Struthio camelus: one gene and its partner. The protein of the gene in region 2 interacts with the protein of the main gene of each other region in a pairwise test. Links are inferred from orthologs where the notes say so. Each region holds a gene or a part of one and is shown on either strand. Other genes may lie near its edges.

Region 1 (9,647 bases), on a different chromosome or scaffold from region 2:
ATAGTTATATTCTGGTTTACAAACTGCCTCCAATAATTGCTGCGTTTAACTGAAGCCAGAATGGAATTGCCTGAATACATCTTACTGGTATAAGAAAGTAGCCTTGTTGGATGACAATTCTTTTCAGACAATGAATACATTCAGAGTAAAATTAAGACACCAGTGAGATCACGTAAGGTTTTGGTAATTATTTTTATGTTGGTTTTATAGCTTTTCTGCCTTCAGTAGGAAATTCCTGCACAGCAAAAGGAATGAAGAATTCCAGAAGAGAGGTGACCTCCTTCAGTTCCAGACTGTATTCCTCTGCTATTTTCTCCGCAGTCCATATCTGAGGATGAAGTTTGTGATTATTGAGAAGTGTCAGAGCCTCCACAATGGAAATTTTGCCTTTGGGAACTTTCTTAACGTCTAGAGCCTCCAAATGACCTAGTTTTGTAAGTCTCTTTTCCTCCTGTTTGCATGGAAGATGTTCACCACCTTGATCTTTTACCTAATTGTGGGAAGGAAAACAAAAGAACTTAACAGCAGTTCTGTTTACTATGCATACTGTAAACAGCCAAGTTGTTTTCCTGAATATGTCTTTTCAGCATTTTCACAGCATTAAAGAAAGGATGCTTTGTCTGCTGCACTTCTTGATACCACTACAATTATAGCCAGTTGTTGCACAGTCGTTCTAGGTATGGGGCCAAATCTCCACCTAGATTCAGGAAACCCAAACATCCATTAAACAGTAGGTATTGTACAGCCCTATATATGTGACACTACGGATTGTGGTAGTCAAACACAAATACAGGTAATATAATACTGGGTACTGATTCGTGGTGGGGGCATCATACTACAAATTGGTATCCTCCTTCTGGTATCACTGTAGCCCATTCTCTCTCTCCTTCCCTTTTTTCATATTTACATCTTATTTTTGTAACTAGCAGACAGCCCCTCTTTTGCTCTGCCTGCAGCACAAGCTTTGTTGGACAAAAAAAAAAAAAAGCTATTTTGCAGCTCCATAGGCAATTTAATTCCCATGATTACTGCAGTGCTCACATACCCAAAGTCCCAAGTCCTTTCACATTTCATTTTCTAAGTCATTTTCAAACCAGCTCTGCCTTCCTCATATTCCTTTTTACTAGGACTTTACCAGTGAATGACACTGCAGAAAAGATACAGTGAAGAACTTCAAGCTCAAGAAACACTACTTTTAAAATTATCATAGCCTATGGCCACTGATTAGCCCACAGACACTTTGTATTAACGCATAAGCTAAAAAGATTCTAAAGCATCCGTGCTGTTTCTAAATTACAAAGAACATTTGCTAATGTGTTATCAAATTTCCCTTCCCTAAGCCATCCTAAAATTACACTGAGATAACAACAAATTCTTAACGTCTTAATAAAATAAGCCAGCTCTGGATATCTGCTACTTCAGAACTGAGAGTATGTTTTTCCCCTTAATATAGACAGACATGTGGAGGTGTATGCATACATATGTATACATACACACACAAGGCATACAGATTAATAGCAGGAAAGGAAGAAATAAGCTGCTGGATGAAGTTTTGCCAGTAAGCCTCACTGCTAACGCATTTTTCATACTTTTCCTAACAATTTTAAGTAGATACATTACAAGAGCAAGTCTTGCAAGCACACCAGCCACCTCAGACTAGGCTCTCAGACTTAGTCAAGTACTAAGACACCTATTCTGCTTTTGGCTTTTCCTCAAATCTCTCTGAACAGCCTGACAAAGGGAAGCGTTTGAAGATAGTGAAATTAAGCCAAAGATATTGAAATCTTTAGCGCTTCAAGGTTAGAGTCTTAATCTCTTTACGAAAATAATGGATAGAGATTACTTGGATACTTCAGAGAGAAACTGCAGAAATCCATTTCTAGTTTAAGATGTTTTTAAATCTTGAATGGAAGGCACCATAAAAGCAGTAAATCAGAGAGACTTATGAATTTTATTGCTGGATGTTCAAATAACTTTTATTACCACATGAAGGAGCGGGAATAAAATGATCCAGTAACGCAAGAGGTAAAAAAGCACAAGATGTAGCACAATGAGGTGGAAGAGAGGAGACTGAACCCGAGCCTAGACATTACCGGAAGGGCTATGCCTTGCCTTCCAAGTCAAAGACTGAAGCCATTAATGATGAGGAAACTGATCAAAAAACAATCCCAAAGGTTATACAGAAAAACCTAACTAAAGCACGACCTCAGTCACATAAGGAAAAGGCTCTGCGTAGTTTGACATGAACATTTCACTGGAGTATTTTTTTTTTTTAAACTACTGATACTATTGTTCTCATCCTCTACCATACCCATGCTTTTATATTAATCTCAGTCTCCTTCCTTCTAGCAAGTCTGCAAAATCTTGTGCATTTTTCCAAAAGACTGGCCAATTATCCTTGTGGCTTTGAGGAAGCAGGAGTACTAACTTAGGTGAAAAAAACCCAAAAATAATCACTGTGAGGTTAAAGACTACTAAGAATTTAAAAGTTACATTACCATAATCTGTCACATGTTCAAGACCACTCAGCATCAAACACAGTCAGTGCTACTGATATATAGAAGGGCAATGAAAACATCAGTTTTACCTATAAAAAATGGTAGTTTTTAGGCACTAAGAGAGTATTTTTCTTGAAAAATCTGCCCACTAGGTAGGATTTGTGTTGAGACTAAAAACCACAAAGCTGATGCTCGTATGCTTCCTACAGCGAGACATACTCACCTGCACAGGTGGACCTCTAGATTCAACATAAACATCTTTTAGCAAAGTGAGGAGCCTATCATCCTTTCTGTAAATTTCTTCCTGTATTTCTGGATGGTCTAAAGGCAGAGGGGAGAAGGAAAAAAAAAAAAGAGAGAGAGAGAGAGAAGAAAGATCCGAGTCATAAAATTGTTTCATTTTCATTACTTCTGTCAGCCTTATCACTTCCCCAGAGCCATCACAATACACAGAGCCTCAATATACACAGTGTTTCTCAGGCAGATTTCAGTTCTGCGTTAGTTCTAACATTAACAGTACTGTTTTACACCGAGAAACAGGGGTGCTGCCATAACTCCTGGCGCTAAACAGCACGATAAAACCCCCCTCGTTTGTAACCCGTACGACGGCCTCACTTCACTCCAGACACGCGCGCTACTCCCCAGCGGCCCGCGAAGCGGACCAGCGATTCACGACATCCGCGAAACGAGCCTGAGCCGGCCCAGGCGAGCGGGGCGAAGGGCAACGCCAGCCGTTTGCCGCCCAACCGCCGCTCAACCGCCCCCCGCGCGGCGCGGCGCAGCCCCGCACCGCTGGGGCCGCCCCTAGCAACCGCTGCTAGCAACCGCCCCGCCCAACCGCCGCCGCCACAGCGGCTCCCGGCGTGCCCCGCGCGCGGCCGCTCCGTTTTCAATGTCACCCGCCGCCGGGCCCGGCTCTTCCCGCCGCCGGCCAGCCGCGGGCTGCCCGCTCGCCATCGCCGTGCTTCCTAGCGCCTTATCAACGCAACCCTCCCTCCGCGCCGCCCGCCGTCCCCTCGAGGCCGCAGCGCGGCTCCGCTCCGCCGGACCGGTGCTCGCTGCCCGCCGCGGGCAGTCCTGCCTGCCGGGACTCACCAGCCAGCGCGTCCAGCCGCGCGGTGGGGTGCCGCGGCGCGGGCGTGGGCTTCTCCTTGCTGATCTCGCGGCGGGCGCGGCTTTCCACGTTGAAGGTGCGGAACACGCGACTCACCCGCCCGCCCATCACCGCCGCAGCCACCCGCACCGCACCGCACCGCGCCTGCGCAACTCGGCGGCAGCGGCCAGGGGCGGGGTGAAGCGGGGTGCGCCGGTCGCGCATGCGCACCGGGTTGGGCGCCGCGCCGCCGGACGGGAGGGGGAGGCCGGGGCCGCTCTGCCGTTCCCGCCTTGGGGAGGCGCGGCAGGAGCGTGGCTGTGCCTCGGTTTCCCCATGTAAGAGTCCAGTGGTGCGTGGCGAGGTACTGAGGCAAAGTGTGAATCACAAGCAGGGTGAATCGCTTTTTATTTCACGGTGTGACTCGACCGTTTTTCTCCTCTGCCGCGCGCGTTATCGCTGTGGCGTCGGCGCTCGCAGGTGCGTGGGCCTCGGTGGTCAAGATGGCTGACGCGCCGGCGTGGCGCAGGTAGCTCTGCCCTGCTCAGGGCGGGCGGGCGGCGCGCCGGCGGCGCTTTTCACCCTACCGGCGTACTTAAGTGCACAAATTCGTCCTTAAAACTGGCCGGTAGCCCACACAGAGAACATGCTTTCCCTATGGTGCTGTGTGCGTACGTTGTTGTGCTTTTAAAATCTCCGTTACTCTTTTGAAAGAGTGATGTTCCCTCATTGCTGCAAGAACGGAGATGCGTTACTGTTTCTTTTGAGGAGAAAATCGCACTTTTCTTTCAGGAACTCGTACGTGTGCATAAAAAGTGCAATTCTAATGCTCTCATGCAACAGCGACATATATCTTAAGGTATCTTTCGTCTTTTGGGAAGAACATCTTCCTGTTGTAGGCATTCATGGGCATGACTGGTCTGGTGTAACTCAGTGGGGTTTATTATATAACTAATATTACTGATGTACATAGGATTTTTTTTTTTTAATACATTGATCACCAAAACTTAAAGCAAATATTCAGTATAAGGAGAACCAATGCTGCATGATTTCTTTTGGGGTAAAGTTGGCAACATCCTCAAGGTGGCAGGCTAGTCTAGGGTTTCCGTGCTTGGTGTTGTAATCGTCGATGCAGCTGTGTCAGCATTTTGGTAAAAGACATATGAATTGCTGCTTTATAGATGATTTTTAGATATGTTACTTTATAAGTGTATTCACTTGATTTATATGCAGGGTTATTACCTGTGCACATCCTAAACCTCAAGAGAATTGTTAGGAGAAGGTAGTGTAATCCAGACAATGAAAATACGGATCAGGCAAATACATGTCATCTGCACCAACAAGCTGTAGTTTATGATGTAAAAGCTTATAAACGGACTGAGTGGCCCTGATAGCACGAATAAGAGGGCCATTCAATGTATAAAATATTATCTGCACCTTTTTTCCTTTTTCACATTTTAGCCTCCAACATACAGTGTCATCATGTGACACCACATATACTGCCGAATGATGAATCCTCATGTAGAAAGGGTATTATCTCAACTTTCTTTTCTGACTGTTATCAACTAGTATGCCAATTTAAAATATCTTACATGTTTTCTCTTTGGAGTTTTTACTTGAATAATGATAATGTGGAAATATTTAAGGATGTTTTTCATCTTACTATTACTCTGTCATTAGTGTGTGTAGCATTTCCTTACTAGCACATAGTTGCTTTATTCAGTGACAGAAAATTAATTTTCTACGCAGATATAGTCTAGAACGTATACCCTACACGGCAATTTGGAGAACAAATCCTTTGTATCATTCAGAGTTTGTGAGCTATGATATGCTGTTAAGCTATGGTCTTGATTAGGGTGTAACCTTTCTTTTTTAGCTTTCTGTGATCCAAGGCGTAGCTTTGATGCAGCCCAGCTGAATCACCTCAACCTTGACTTCTGAGAAAATTGCTAAACTGTGAAAAACAGCTGTGAGAAAGTACTTAGTCCTGAGTAACATAAGAAAGGTAAAATTGCAGACAAAGGTAAATTTTTGAGATAGAGCCAGCAGCTTCAGGATTCAAGAGAGGAAGAATATAACTATGAAAAGTTATAAAGTTCCGAGAGAGCAAAAGGGAATGAGAAACAGCAACACTACGGATTAGTGTTACATGAAGCAGTAAAGGCTGACCCCTCTCTGTCTGACCGATGACTGCCTGGCAAACACAGACTGAGAGGGTAGCTTACCAAAGGAGGTAAGCGTATTACTGACTTTTTAATCCTAGCTATTGTTTGTCTTAGCCTATACACAATTGCTTTGTACTTTTGAGTTGTTTATATCCTGTTTGCAGACTTTCTTCATGCATGGTAATAGTTGCCTGAATCAAGTAACTAAGAGTCAGTGCTATGAAGGCTAGTTAAAAGGTCCAATGTCTGTGTTCCTTTCTAGGAGGAAGACACCTATTTTCTGTCCTGGCATCCATCTAGTTTTGTTATCACTGTGTGCATGCAAAATCTGGATGCCTGTTAGTAGTGTAAGTAGCAGCGTTACTATTAGTAATAATGGTGATGATGCAGTAGCTATTAAGGCCACAGTGTGCTGGAATACTGCATAATGAATGACAGCTTTTGCTTAAAGGGAATTCAGAAGACAAAGCAGGTGGATGAAGAAAACAAATAGATCCACAAAGGCAATGAGGGCAAGGCAGCATAAGGTTGATCTGTACTTCCTCTGCGCCTTCTTCGAGAGTTCTGAAGGGGCAATTTTTTCACTTCCACGTTTTGAAGACTCTCATTGTCTATAGGGGAAGGATAGAAGCATCTCTTTAAATTCTACTCTCTGTTTATAAACTCACCCTATAACCAACCTGATCCTATTTTAGGCATTGTATGTGTACTGATAATAGGAATGTGGAACCCGCTATGAGATTTTATATCGCAAATCAGGCTGATGGCGTGTCTAATTAAATATCAGTAGTCAATTAGTGGCTGATTTTTGCCTATGTTCTGGAGCATGGGGTTTGATATTTTACTGGTGGGTAGCCTATCCGGTGTTGTGAAGGTAAATGTAATGGTAAAATTCACATGGATGCTTTTTCTTGGTGGCTGTAGACCTTTGATGTGTACTTTAGTATTTCTCTAAGACATGTTCTTACTCTTCTGTCTGTGCATGCAAGCATTGCTACAAATTTGGAAATAAAGATGCTGCTCCTTCAAAAGCTAAGAATTGTTGGCTTTCAGGATCAAACCCAGCACAGTGATTCTGTCTCTGTAAAGCCAGAATGTGACTAACACTGCTGTAATATTTACTGACAGCAAAATAAATTCACCAGAAGACAGACAGTTAAAAATAGTGATGTCATTCTCTGCCTGTCTCTTCCTATCACTGAGGATGGCACAAAGCTGTCCTTATTATGTATAAGGAAGGATCAGAAGTGCAAGATTTTTATTCTGGAGTTATAATATTTCCTCTTTCATTTAGACTGTAGCAGCAGCAGAATTGGGATTTTAAAAAATTGTTTGATCATTCAGCATTTTATCAATATAACCATATTGATGATATTAAGTAGCAGTAACCAAAAGCCTGGGATCCTTTTCTATCACGTGTCTATAAGTGTATGTTCTTAAAAAAACTGACCATATAGTTCCTCAAAGCATAAAAACTGTATGTATGTATGAATTTTTCCAGGGAACTTAAAAATAACAAAACACAGGAAAGGAACAACACAGAATATTCAACTCAATTCATTTATACCAGCAACCTGTTTTCAACAGCAGACAGTGTCAAACATTTCAGAGATAAATACTGGAACTGGCATCATATATATGTGCCATAGGCTGCCTCCTTTCCCACATCCGAGGGAGACATTTCTTAAAACTGTTCTGCACTTGGAGAATAAAAATAAATTTGCAAACATTCTTGAAGCCTTTCTGTCAGTTTTTCATGCCAGTTCTGATATTAATTTGTGGGGTTTTGTTTGTTTTTTCATTCTTGACAGGTTCTATAGCTGAATGAAAAATAGGTCCAAAATTAATTTTATTAGTTAATTAACATCAAAAAAGGCTGACTGATCTGTTGCAGATTCTCTTTGTGTAAGGGACAAAGGGGATGTCTGACCTTTAACTTGATTTATTGTGAGATGCTACCAAGGTTTCTCTGCCTTCTTTACTACTCAGAAAAGCAGGAATCAGAATATTAGTCTAGAGGAAAAGTAATCTTGGTGAAATAAGAATCTCTTTTAGTAATGGATGCTCAATTTGACAGTTTTTGAGAGGAGGCAGATGATGTTCACTACGTCATTTTATAGTCTTCAGAAGTTCCAGTGTTTAAGGCAGAGGAAAATTTGAATCCCTTATACTGTAGTGACATAGTTTAATATTTGATTCTCTCCATGCTTTCTACCACTGATACTGGTTTCTCATATTTATTTTCCTAATTATTCATAAATTTTAACAATGTATGGGGATACTGTCTAGCAAATTCATGTATAATTAGGATTAAGGGAACTCAGCCCTCTTTCCTGACTACTGGTTTTCCATTAAATACAATGAGAGCATTGATCCATTTGTTCCTTATCTCATCAGCAGTAAGAAGAGCCAGAGAACGTAGCATTAGCAATAATTATGACCTGAGCAACAATGACTGTCCCATGACTTTCTGAAGATGAGCTCAAGAAAGATGGATGTTGAGATCACTATTACCTTTAAGTGATTTCTGGTTGTTCTATTTGTTACTGAGCTTCACCTAATCCATCTTTTAGTGGCTCCGGAACTATCTAAAAATATACGAAGACTTTTGCCTGATTCCAGGCTATGACCAGAGTATTACTAAACACTTGACTCTCATCTTTTCAAGACTAGGTGGCTGTACCTAGGAATTAAAGAATTTCTGTCGGTCCTTTGCTGGATTGAAGCTTATGAGTAGAGTGTAGCAAGCCCACATTTACAGTAATGTGTCTGAACGCATTACTACTTCCTTATAACATTCATTTCAAGGTGGTACATTTACATTCTTCTGATTGACTGTGGCCTGGTATAACTGACATCATCTTTCATAATTTTCCGAGCTAATTTTTATAATCTCAATTAGCAGGTTATTTGACTTGGAAATGCACAGTAGGAGCCGGCATATTTGATAATGAGACAGCCTGGTACTGGCATTAATTACCTAAAGCAATTAGAGATGTGCATTTTGCTATGCTATTCAGTGAGAGCTAACATGGTCTTCATTCTAAGTCACAGGGTTCACTTCCATGTACTCTGTTCTTAGTCGCAGTACTGCTTTAGAGAAGTGCTGCCCTTATTCTTTTAAGCCTTGCATCGTGTCATCACTCATGCTGGAGCAAGACTGCAGGATCTCTTCAGGGTGAACAACATCAGATAGTTGATCTGATTTAATAAAAACAAAAGTCCTGTAACTTTTTATAAGGCATATCAGTTACTGATGGTTTGAATGCTCCCAGAAAAACTACAAGCAAAACAGGAGGGGAAACAAGGGATTGAAGAGAAGAGGCGTACAAATACCTGAAACTGCTATTGCTGCCAAGTTTTGCTTCTTTTTGTGAAATGGAGAGGGTGTACTTTGCACTCAGATCATTTAGTTTCAGCAGTCACACAAAGAATTGTACCAGCCCAAGTGAGGAGGAAGTGAACCAGAGTTTGGGGGGGGGGGGGGGAACCACATAGGATGGGAGGTGGGCTGGCTTTGCTCACACACCAGAATCCTCAAGACAAACACCCTTGGGCCTGTCAAAAAGTGGGAGTGAATGTGCATCCACTGGAAAGGTAAGAATCGTGTTAGCTGTACAAGAAGTTTTGTATCATGATGAGAAACGGTTGCAGAGAGTGCTGTGCTTACCAATACGCAGTTTGTATGTGTACAATAACCACAACCATCTTGCTGGATTAACTACATATGAATTAATGTATCTTTAGACCGTCAAGTTCTGGTTGTTGAGGATTTTGCTATTCAACTTGCTTAGCAAGCCCAGAAAATTCCCCATTCTCTGGTAAGATTTCCCATGAGGAATTTCCCTCAAAGAAAACAGCAATTTCTTTTAGATGCTTTGATATCGTGAA
Region 2 (8,482 bases):
CCAGCCCCTGGGTGTGGGGCAATGCTGGTGCCCCCCCTCCACCCCCCGTTGCAGTGCTGGGGTCAGGGATCCCCGTGGGGCGCAGGCTCTTCTGCAGAAACGGGGGGATGCTCCAGCCCTGGGATGGGGGGGGCAGCAGCCACCGAGAGCTCTGCACAGCTCCCCCCTCGCTCTCTGCTGGGCCCCACTGTGCATGGCCTGCGCCCCACGGCTCGGCGCTGCCCTTGAACCTGCGCCCCACGGCTCGGCTCTGCTCCCGTCCTGCGCCCCACGGCTCGGCTCTGCTCCTGCCCTGCGCCCCACGGCACAGCTCTGCTCCTGCCCTGCGCCCCACGGCACAGCTCTGCTCCTGCCCTGCGCCCCACGGTTCGGCTCTGCTCCTGCCCTTCGCCCCACGGCTCGGCTCTGCTGCCACCCTGCACCCCACGGCACAGCTCTGCTCCTGCCCTGCGCCCCACGGCACGGCTCTGCTCCTGCCCTGTGCCCCACGGTTCGGCTCTGCTCCTGCCCTGCGCCCCACGGCACAGCTCTGCTCCTGCCCTGCGCCCCACGGCTCGGCTCTGCTGCCACCCTGCGCCCCACGGCTCGGCTCTGCTCCTGCCCTGCGCCCCACGGCTCGGCTCTGCTGCCACCCTGCGCCCCACGGTTCGGCTCTGCTCCTGCCCTGCACCCCACGGCACAGCTCTGCTCCTGCCCTGCGCCCCACGGTTCAGCTCTGCTGCTGCCCTGCGCCCCACGGCTCGGCTCTGCTGCCACCCTGCGCCCCACGGTTCGGCTCTGCTCCTGCCCTGCGCCCCACGGCTCGGCTCTGCTGCCACCCTGCGCCCCACGGCTCGGCTCTGCTCCTGCCCTGCGCCCCACGGCTCGGCTCTGCTGCCACCCTGCGCCCCACGGTTTAGCTCTGCTCCTGCCCTGCGCCCCACGGCTCGGCTCTGCTGCCACCCTGCGCCCCACGGTTCGGCTCTGCTCCTGCCCTGCGCCCCACGGCTCGGCTCTGCTGCCACCCTGTGCCCCCGGCACAGCTCCCCCCCCCCCCCCCGGTGGGCCCGCTGCCATCAGCCTGGGGCTGAGCCCCCGTGCTGCGGCTTGCGGCTGTGACTTCCCCTGCGCCGGCACGGCAGGCGCTCGGGTTCCTGTTTCCGTCTCCCCGCTCTGCTCCCGCGCCCGCACCGCTGGCCCGGAGCCCGGCAGCCCCGGCACCGCGGCGGTTATCGGCACGTCTCCCGGCGTCCGTGAGCGGAGCCGTTCCCGTCACCCTGCCGAGGTGGGGAGACGCCGGGCTGCACCCAACCCTTGGACCCCCCAGCGCGAGGTGCCCGCGGCGCCGTTGGGGTCCCCCACCCCGCACCGCCGGCCCGGCACTGGCAGCAGGCCGGTTTCGCTTCCCCCGCGGCGGGTGCCCGAAGGCCTCCCGCCGGGGCAGCCAGGCGGCACGGAGCCAGGAGGCCCCGGGGGCGGCGGGCGCCGCAGGTGCCGGGGCGGGTGCCCTGCTTCGGGGACAGCTCGGGTTTCCGGGGCCGCTCCGACGACGGCGCCAGGTGCTCCGGCCCCACCACCGGCGCGTTGTTTGGCGCCGTTTCCTTTCGGCTCGGCCGCGCCGCCCTCCCCTTTGGCTCCTGACCCGCGGCGACGGCGGGGGGGCTGCAGCACAACCCCTTGGCCCCCCCCGCCCCCCAGCCCGGCGGTAAGTCGCCCTGTGTGGCGGGGCGGCGGGGCAGCCCCCGGCCCGGCCCGGCCCCGGCGCCCGCGCGGGCAACGGAATCCCAAAAGCAGCTGTCCCCGCTGCGCCCAGCTGCCCTGGGATTTCGTTACCCGCGCCGCCGCCCCCGCCTCGGCCCCGCCGCCCCCGCCGCCCCGGCCCCTCTGCCCCCAGCGGCTGCGAGCTGGGAAAAAGGGGCGTCCGGCCCCCCCACCCCACCCCGGCCATGCCGGGGGCTCTCCGACAGGCCTGCCCCCCCCCCAACCTCGTGCCTCCCCGCCGGCTAAAGATAGCAGCTCGTTTCCTGGGGAGAAACCGCCGGAGCGAGCGTGCCGAGCGGCTGCCGGCCGCAGCGTGGATGTGGCCGCCGAGGGCCGGCGCGAGTCACGAGATGCTGCGCCGGCTTCCTGCCGCCGCCGCCGCCACCGCGCGGGGCTCTACCCCGGCCCGCGGTTTCTCCCCCCCAACACCCAGCGCCGGTGGGGCGGGAGGCGGCGTAGGGCAGGGCGAGCGGCACCCCGGTGGGATCCGGTCCCCCGAGAGACAGAGACGGCTTTGGAATGACACGATCACTCCCGCTGAGCGGGCAGCCGGAGAGCCATCGGGAATGTCGTGTCTGTCCAAAGCTTTTTCGGCGCCTCCGTGAGCCTCGCGTCGGGCACGCGGCCCGGCCCCCCCCCCGCCACCCCGGCTTTCGCAGGGCTGCTGCCGCGCCGCAGCAGGGAGCCGCGCGGGGACGGTGCCGCCGTGGGCCGGGACCCCCCAGCCCTGCAGGGCCGGGGACGGAGCCAGCCGACCCCCCCGCAGCGGCTCTGCCGGCGCAGCGGCCCGAGACGAGGTCCGAGCGCTTTCTCAGGCCGCGTCGGGGTGTGCCGCGCCGGACAGAGGCCCCGGGCGGCTCCTGCCCCGCAGACAGTCAGCAGTTGGTCTGGTGTGAGCAGCAAGTCTCAGATCACCTCTTGGCTGTGGGCGGCGCAGAGAGCACCCCCACCTCGGCCCGACCCCCGGAGACCCCGGAGCCGCGAGCGCGGGGGTGGCAGGAGGGAAGGGGCCCCCGCCAGCACGCGCCACGTAAACGCGGGCTGTGAAACGCCGCCGCGGAGGAACCGGGCTGTGCGGCGGGCAGCGAGACCGCCAAGGCGCGGCCTCCCATCCTTTCCGTCCACCTCCTTCCCCTCGGGGCTGATGAGCCGGCGGGGACGGCCCTTCCCCGAGCCCGGCGGGCAGCGTCACCCAGGCGGGACGGGCCGCTGCGTGGCCGAAGCCCCCGTCCTGCCCGCGGCCAGGCCGAGCGGCTCCCCTCGGAGGAGCCCCGGCCCCCGAGGCCGGTCCGCCGGCCGCTCAATAAAGCCCGTTTCCTGCCCGGCCCTCGCAGCCGCTCGTGTTTTTTTCCACGGCGCGGTTCAGCCCTCTTTCGGTTCCGCTCCCCGCCGCCCCCAGCGGGCTCGGCTCTGAGAGGCCGGGAGGGGAAGGAGCAGCCGCTGGGGCAGCGTTTCGGGGCAGGTTGAACTGCTGCCTGGGGAAGGTGCGTCCCTCCTGCTCCCAAACGCCCTGGCCAGGAGGGCCGGGCCTGGCGGGCGAGCGGCCGCCGGGGGCCGTGCAGGCCCCACCGGCTGCGCCACCGCTCTCCCGGGGGCTCGGTCACTGCGACCCGCCACACCCAGCATGGCCTCGCCGTGCTGCCCGCCACGCCCAGCATGGCGCCCCCCCCCCCCCCCGCCGCCACCGTTACCCCCAAGATGGCCGCCCGGCCCCGTCCAACCCACCCGCGCCCAAGATGGCCGCGCAGGCACGCTGCGCGCCGCGCCCAACATGGCGGCCGCCTTCCCGCCAGGCCCCGCCCGAGAAGGGGGGTGTGACGTCACGCCCCGGGGTCGACGGAAGCGGCCGGCGAGGGGAGCGCATGGAGGCGGGCGAGGGGAGGCCGGCGGTGGCGGCGACGCTGCGGGCCCTGAACGGCGCGCTGGGGCGGCCGGCCGCGCTCTGGCGGAAGGAGAGCGGCGCCCACCGCCTGCGGCACCGCGACTTCCTGGCGCCGCAGGCCGCGCTGCGGGCCGCGTTCGGCGGGGGGCAGGTAGGCCGCGGGGGCGGGGCCGGCCCGGGCGGCGGGGGCGGGGCCAGGCAGCGAGGGCGGGGCCGGCGCGCCGCAGACGAGGCCTACCTGGGCGGGGGTGGGGCCTGCTAGGCGGCAGGGGCGGGGCCAGGCATCGGGGGCGGGGCCGGCGCGCCGGAGACGAAGCCTGCCTGGGCGGGGGGCGGGGCCTGCCTGGGCGGGGGCGGGGCCAGAGAGGCAGGGGGAGGGGCCTTACCCAGCGGTTTCTCTCTGCCTTCATCCCCCCGTGTCTCTGGCAGGTGCCTGCTGACGTCATGGCGCGCGTGACGTCACTGTCGGGCCCGGAAGTGCTGCCGCTGAGTGGGTGCCAGGAGACAGTGGAGGGGCTGGCGGTGCAGGTGCGGCGGCCGGAGGCCTTCCGGCGGCTGCTGGGCCCCGGCCCTGCGCCGGCCCCACCGCCGGCCTCCCCGGCGCGCGTGGTGCTGCACTGCCCGGGCCTGCGCGGCCCCGCCGCCCTGCCGCCCCGCCGCCTCCGCCCCGTGCTGCTCGCCGACCACCTGGCCGAGGTGCTGCGCGCCCAGGGGTGAGTGCCGCCACCCCCCCCGCCGGCCCCACCGCCGCCGCCCCGCGGCCTCACCGCCACCTCCCTCCCTCTCCGTCGCAGGGCCAGCGTGCGCCTGGTGCCCGCCCTGGGCGACGAGCCGAGCCGGGAGGTGCTGCGGCAGCTCCGCGTCGCTTGGCCCTGCGGCCGCCCCGACCCCGGCGGCCCCGAGGCCATCGCCGCCCTGAAGCGGGCCCTGGCGCGGTCGCCCTACGTCGCGGCCGGCGAGCGGGGGGCCGGCGGCGCCGCTGCTGCCCTGCCCGAGGACGTCGTGGCTGAAGTGGACCTGCGGAGCTTCGTGGAGCAGCAGCACCTGGAGGGCTACGACCCCAACCTGGACGTCCTCCGGGGTGAGCGCCGTGGGCCGCTAGTGTGGCAGCACGGGGCGTGAAGGGCGGCACGGGAGTCCGTTTCTTTTTTTTAATTACCTTAACAAGAATAAGGAGCGTTTAGATGTAGACTGCCTTTCCTCGTTGTTCCCCTTCCACCTGCCGGGCTGGGGCAGGACGGAGCAGGGGTGCCGCGCGCCCTCGCTTCCCTCCCTGACTGTCCTTCCTCCTTTCAGTGACGGAGGAGAAGCTGCGGTGCCTGGCGGAGCTGCAGCAGGCCGTCCTGCAGTGCGCGGTGAGTAACCCCGCCGCCGCGCTGCCTGGCTCTCGCTTCCCGCCGGCGTTCCCTTCTGTCCCGCGCCGGCGTCCGAGCTCGCTGCTGTGCTCTGCTGCAGGCCGGCGGCCAGGCAGGCTGCTGCCACGTGGTGCACGTGCTGAGCTGCGAGGAGGAATTCCAGCAGCAGCAGATGGATCTGCTCTGGAGGATTTTGGATCCGGGAGCCCACACAGCTCTGCAGGTGAGGAACTTTCTGCCTTCTTCATCGTGGCCCCCAGTGTCCTCGGGCTGAGCCAGCTCTCCTGCCGTCCCTGCAGTGAATCCGAGGTCCAGCCTCGCCTCCTCGGGAGCCTTCCCTTCAGCCCTGCTGGCCCCTCCGCAGTCTTGCCCAGGCTGCGGAGCCCTTGGGACCTTAGTGCTGAAGAAGGAAGGGCAGGAGGGGATTGCAGGGGTGCAGGCAGAACCGGGCTGTTGACTGAACGCACCAGTGCACTTCAGCAGCTCCTGACTCTGTGTTCCCCTTTTCCTGTTTCCATAGCTGTGAGCAGAGGTTTCCCTGGCTGCTCTCCAGGTTCAATTCTTCTGGCACTGCATTTTAGTGCTGATACAGCTTCTAAGTCCTTGAGCCTAAGCCTGCTGTCTCATTTCTTTTTCAGAAACACCTTGTCTGTGGACCAGTGAAGATAGCAAAGCCCTCATCCCCCATTGGGGCAGACCAGTACTTCCAGTAAGTTGGTATTTAGCAAGGAGCTGGCTGTGTCACCCACCGACCAGGCTGCCTGGGCTCTGCTTTGGCCCTGCGGACACCCAGGAAGCTCTCTGAACAGATGAGCGTGCCGGAGGTTTAAGGAAGTTTCTGTGTGGTCCCAGCAGCCTTCCTCCGTTCCGCTTTTCTGCGGCTTCGTGGCTGTCTCTAGAGGCCTGGAGATCCACGGCAGGGGCAGGAGAGGGAAGACAACTGTTTTGCCCTCCTCGCTCTTAGTAGGCTCCTCTAGTTGGGCTGCCTCTGGCCCTGTTGGCACTGACTGCCGGGGGCTGTAGCTCTCCCCCTCCCCAGCAGCGCTGCTGGGAGGAAAGGCCGGGGCAGGAGCTAGGCCCCGTGCGGTGTGACCAGCCCCAGCAGCCCGAAGGCTGGGGGAGCCCTCGGGCCCTCTCTGGAGCAGGCTCGCCCTGGGGAGGCGGTGGTGGCTCTAACTGTCTGTGTTCCTCCCAGGCTCCGAAAGCGCCAGATGTACGAAGCCTCTGTGATGAAGTATGGGGAACTCGCACAAGGTGAGGGTTTGCTCCACACGTAGATGCTGCTTCCGCACTGCTCCCATAAGTCTCCCCCACCCACCCACCCACCCACCTCAGGGTCTCGTGGCTGCAGCCAGGAGGTCTCTCCCCTGGGAAGGAGCGGGGTTCTGACCTTGCTTGGGAGGAAGGTGTCTGAACCGTTGCACAGAAGGTCCCCTTCTCTCTGCTGCGAGAAGGGGCTAGGGAAGCGTGTTGGTTCCCAGCCCGCACTGGGGGGTTTCTGCCTGAGGGTGGCAGGTACGCGGGGCTGGAGCAAGCCGTGCTGTGGCCCCATTTGTGTTTTTTTGCAGACGAGGCCTGGACTGAGGTTATCGATGTCCTGACAGCGGCTGCCATCAGGTTTGAGATGCTGAGCACTGCCCACCGTAGTCAGGTAGGACAGGCCAGAGCTGCAACGGTCTGTGCAGAGCCGGGGGGCCTGTGAGCAGTGGGACATACCGCTCTTTGGGAGCTACAGCTCATGGCACAGGCTGAGGTCGGGCAGAAGCAGAGGGACAAGTAGCGACGGGGAGAGGGGAGGCGCTCTGTGGGCTCTGGCTGCCCTGGATTTGGGGCAGAGGGCTTTCCCATGGGCTGAAGCAAGCAGGTGCAGGCTGGTGTTCCTGCACCAGCAGCCAGCCCCGGTAGCCTGCACCCATCTGCCCAGGACGGGCCCAGGCTCAGCACACTGGTGGTCACGCTCTGCCTGCTGGGGAAGGCTCCGCTCCCCCAGCGAGAGGTGCAGGGACGTGCCAGGACCGGCTGTGTGCCGAGCAGCCTGGACCGCAGCCTCTCTCTTCCCTCAGATCGTTCTGGACCTGGAGGACAGCAGCATCTCCACAAAGGGAACCAAGAGCGGCGCCTTCGTGATGTACAACTGTGCCCGGCTGGCCACGCTCTTCGACACCTACCAGCGGGCTGTGGAGCGGGGTGAGCCCTAGCCCACCGGGCCCTCTCCCTAAGCAGCGACTCTGGGGCTGTTCCTCACGGCTGCGTGGGGATGGGGTTGTTCCTGGAGCCCCACAACCGCCTCAGCAGCGACTCTGCCAGAGGCAGGAGGCTGATGGCCTGACGGGGCTCCAGTGCAGCAGTCCCCTGGGCTGTCCCTGCAGCAGGGAGACCCCAGGGCTCCCAGCACCGGGGCTGCTATGCGCACAGCAGCCATCTCTCGCCTCCTTCCCAGGCACATACCCACCCTTGCCGCCAGCATCAGAACTGAACTTCTCCTGCCTCCGGGAAGAGGTGAGTGCTGAGGGACGGAGGCTGCAGGGAGCTGTGTGCCCTCAGCTCCGGAGGATCGGAGGATCGATGCTTCTGGCCCAGGGGGATCCGGCCCTCTCGGACACACCGAACCCTTTCACAGGGCGAATGGCTCCTGCTCTTCAACTATCTCCTGCCCTTCCCCGAAGTCTTGCAGCAGGCAGCACAGCTGCCCTCACCCAGCAAGGGGATCCGGATCACAGCCAGCGCAGAGACGGTAAGTACCACGTGCCGGAGCACCCATGGGTGCTGCTCTCACAGCCCCAGCCTGGGGCAAGGCTGCACCCTGAAGGGTGCTGCCCGCCGGTATGCAACACCGGGACAGTGCTGAGGGGCTTCCCTGGGACGAGACTGTGACACTGCGAGTGCTGTTTGGTGTGGGGGAGACGACCCAAGAGCAGACCCTGCAGTGCCGACACTAGCTCTCCGTGTTGCAGGTGTGCAAATTCCTGATCCAGCTCAGCATGGATTTCAGCTCCTACTACAACCGTGTCCACATCCTGGGGGTGAGTCAAATAGCCCAGGTGACTTGCTGAAGGGGGGGCAGCGCTGCAGCCCTCCCAGGGGGCTACACTAGCCCAGGCTGCGGAGGCCTTCCCGTGGGGCTGGGCTGCCACGAGCAGGCTTCTGCGTGCCAGCAGCAAGATAAGAGGCTGGGGCAGGGCTCTGAGGCCACGTCAGCAGGGTGAAGAGGCAGCGATGCCTCTGGGGCTAAGGGGGACTGTGGCCACCAGCCCCCACATTGCTGCCTTTCTCCCCGCAGGAGCCATTCCCTCACCTGTTTGACCAGATGTTTGCTCGCCTCCAGCTGCTGGCAGCCGTGAGGGACACGTTCCACAGCGCCCTGGCCACTCTGCACCTCCCGCCTCTCAGCCAGATCTGAGCCGCTGCTGGACAGCCACGCCGCGTGGGAGGCGAGGGCAAGGACAGCGTGTGCCCTCCTGGCAGCGTGAGGGGTGTCGAGGCACACTGGAGCCCTGCCGCGGTG

Evidence for each region.
Region 1: the proteins of NDUFAF3 (region 2) and NDUFAF4 interact in binary tests that used the Homo sapiens proteins (3 or more experiments, as listed by UniProt). The two-hybrid records come from large-scale screens. The link is inferred for Struthio camelus from reciprocal best matches to the Homo sapiens genes NDUFAF3 and NDUFAF4.

The regions. Positions count from the first base shown.
Region 1 is NC_090944.1:53,379,207-53,388,853, forward strand, and holds the start of NDUFAF4 (NADH dehydrogenase [ubiquinone] 1 alpha subcomplex assembly factor 4), read right to left. Parts: upstream 3,821-9,647; 5' UTR 3,817-3,820; coding exon 3,594-3,816; intron 2,820-3,593; coding exon 2,722-2,819; intron 491-2,721; coding exon 194-490; 3' UTR 1-193. UniProt on the Homo sapiens protein: Involved in the assembly of mitochondrial NADH:ubiquinone oxidoreductase complex (complex I). May be involved in cell proliferation and survival of hormone-dependent tumor cells. May be a regulator of breast tumor cell invasion.
Region 2 is NC_090955.1:10,147,979-10,156,460, forward strand, and holds the start of NDUFAF3 (NADH dehydrogenase [ubiquinone] 1 alpha subcomplex assembly factor 3), read right to left. Parts: upstream 3,605-8,482; coding exon 3,432-3,604; intron 1-3,431. Other genes in the region: DALRD3 (DALR anticodon-binding domain-containing protein 3), read left to right, coding at 3,603-3,773, 4,052-4,335, 4,417-4,703, 4,919-4,977, 5,078-5,200, 5,616-5,686, 6,173-6,231, 6,546-6,628 and 5 more. UniProt on the Homo sapiens protein: Essential factor for the assembly of mitochondrial NADH:ubiquinone oxidoreductase complex (complex I).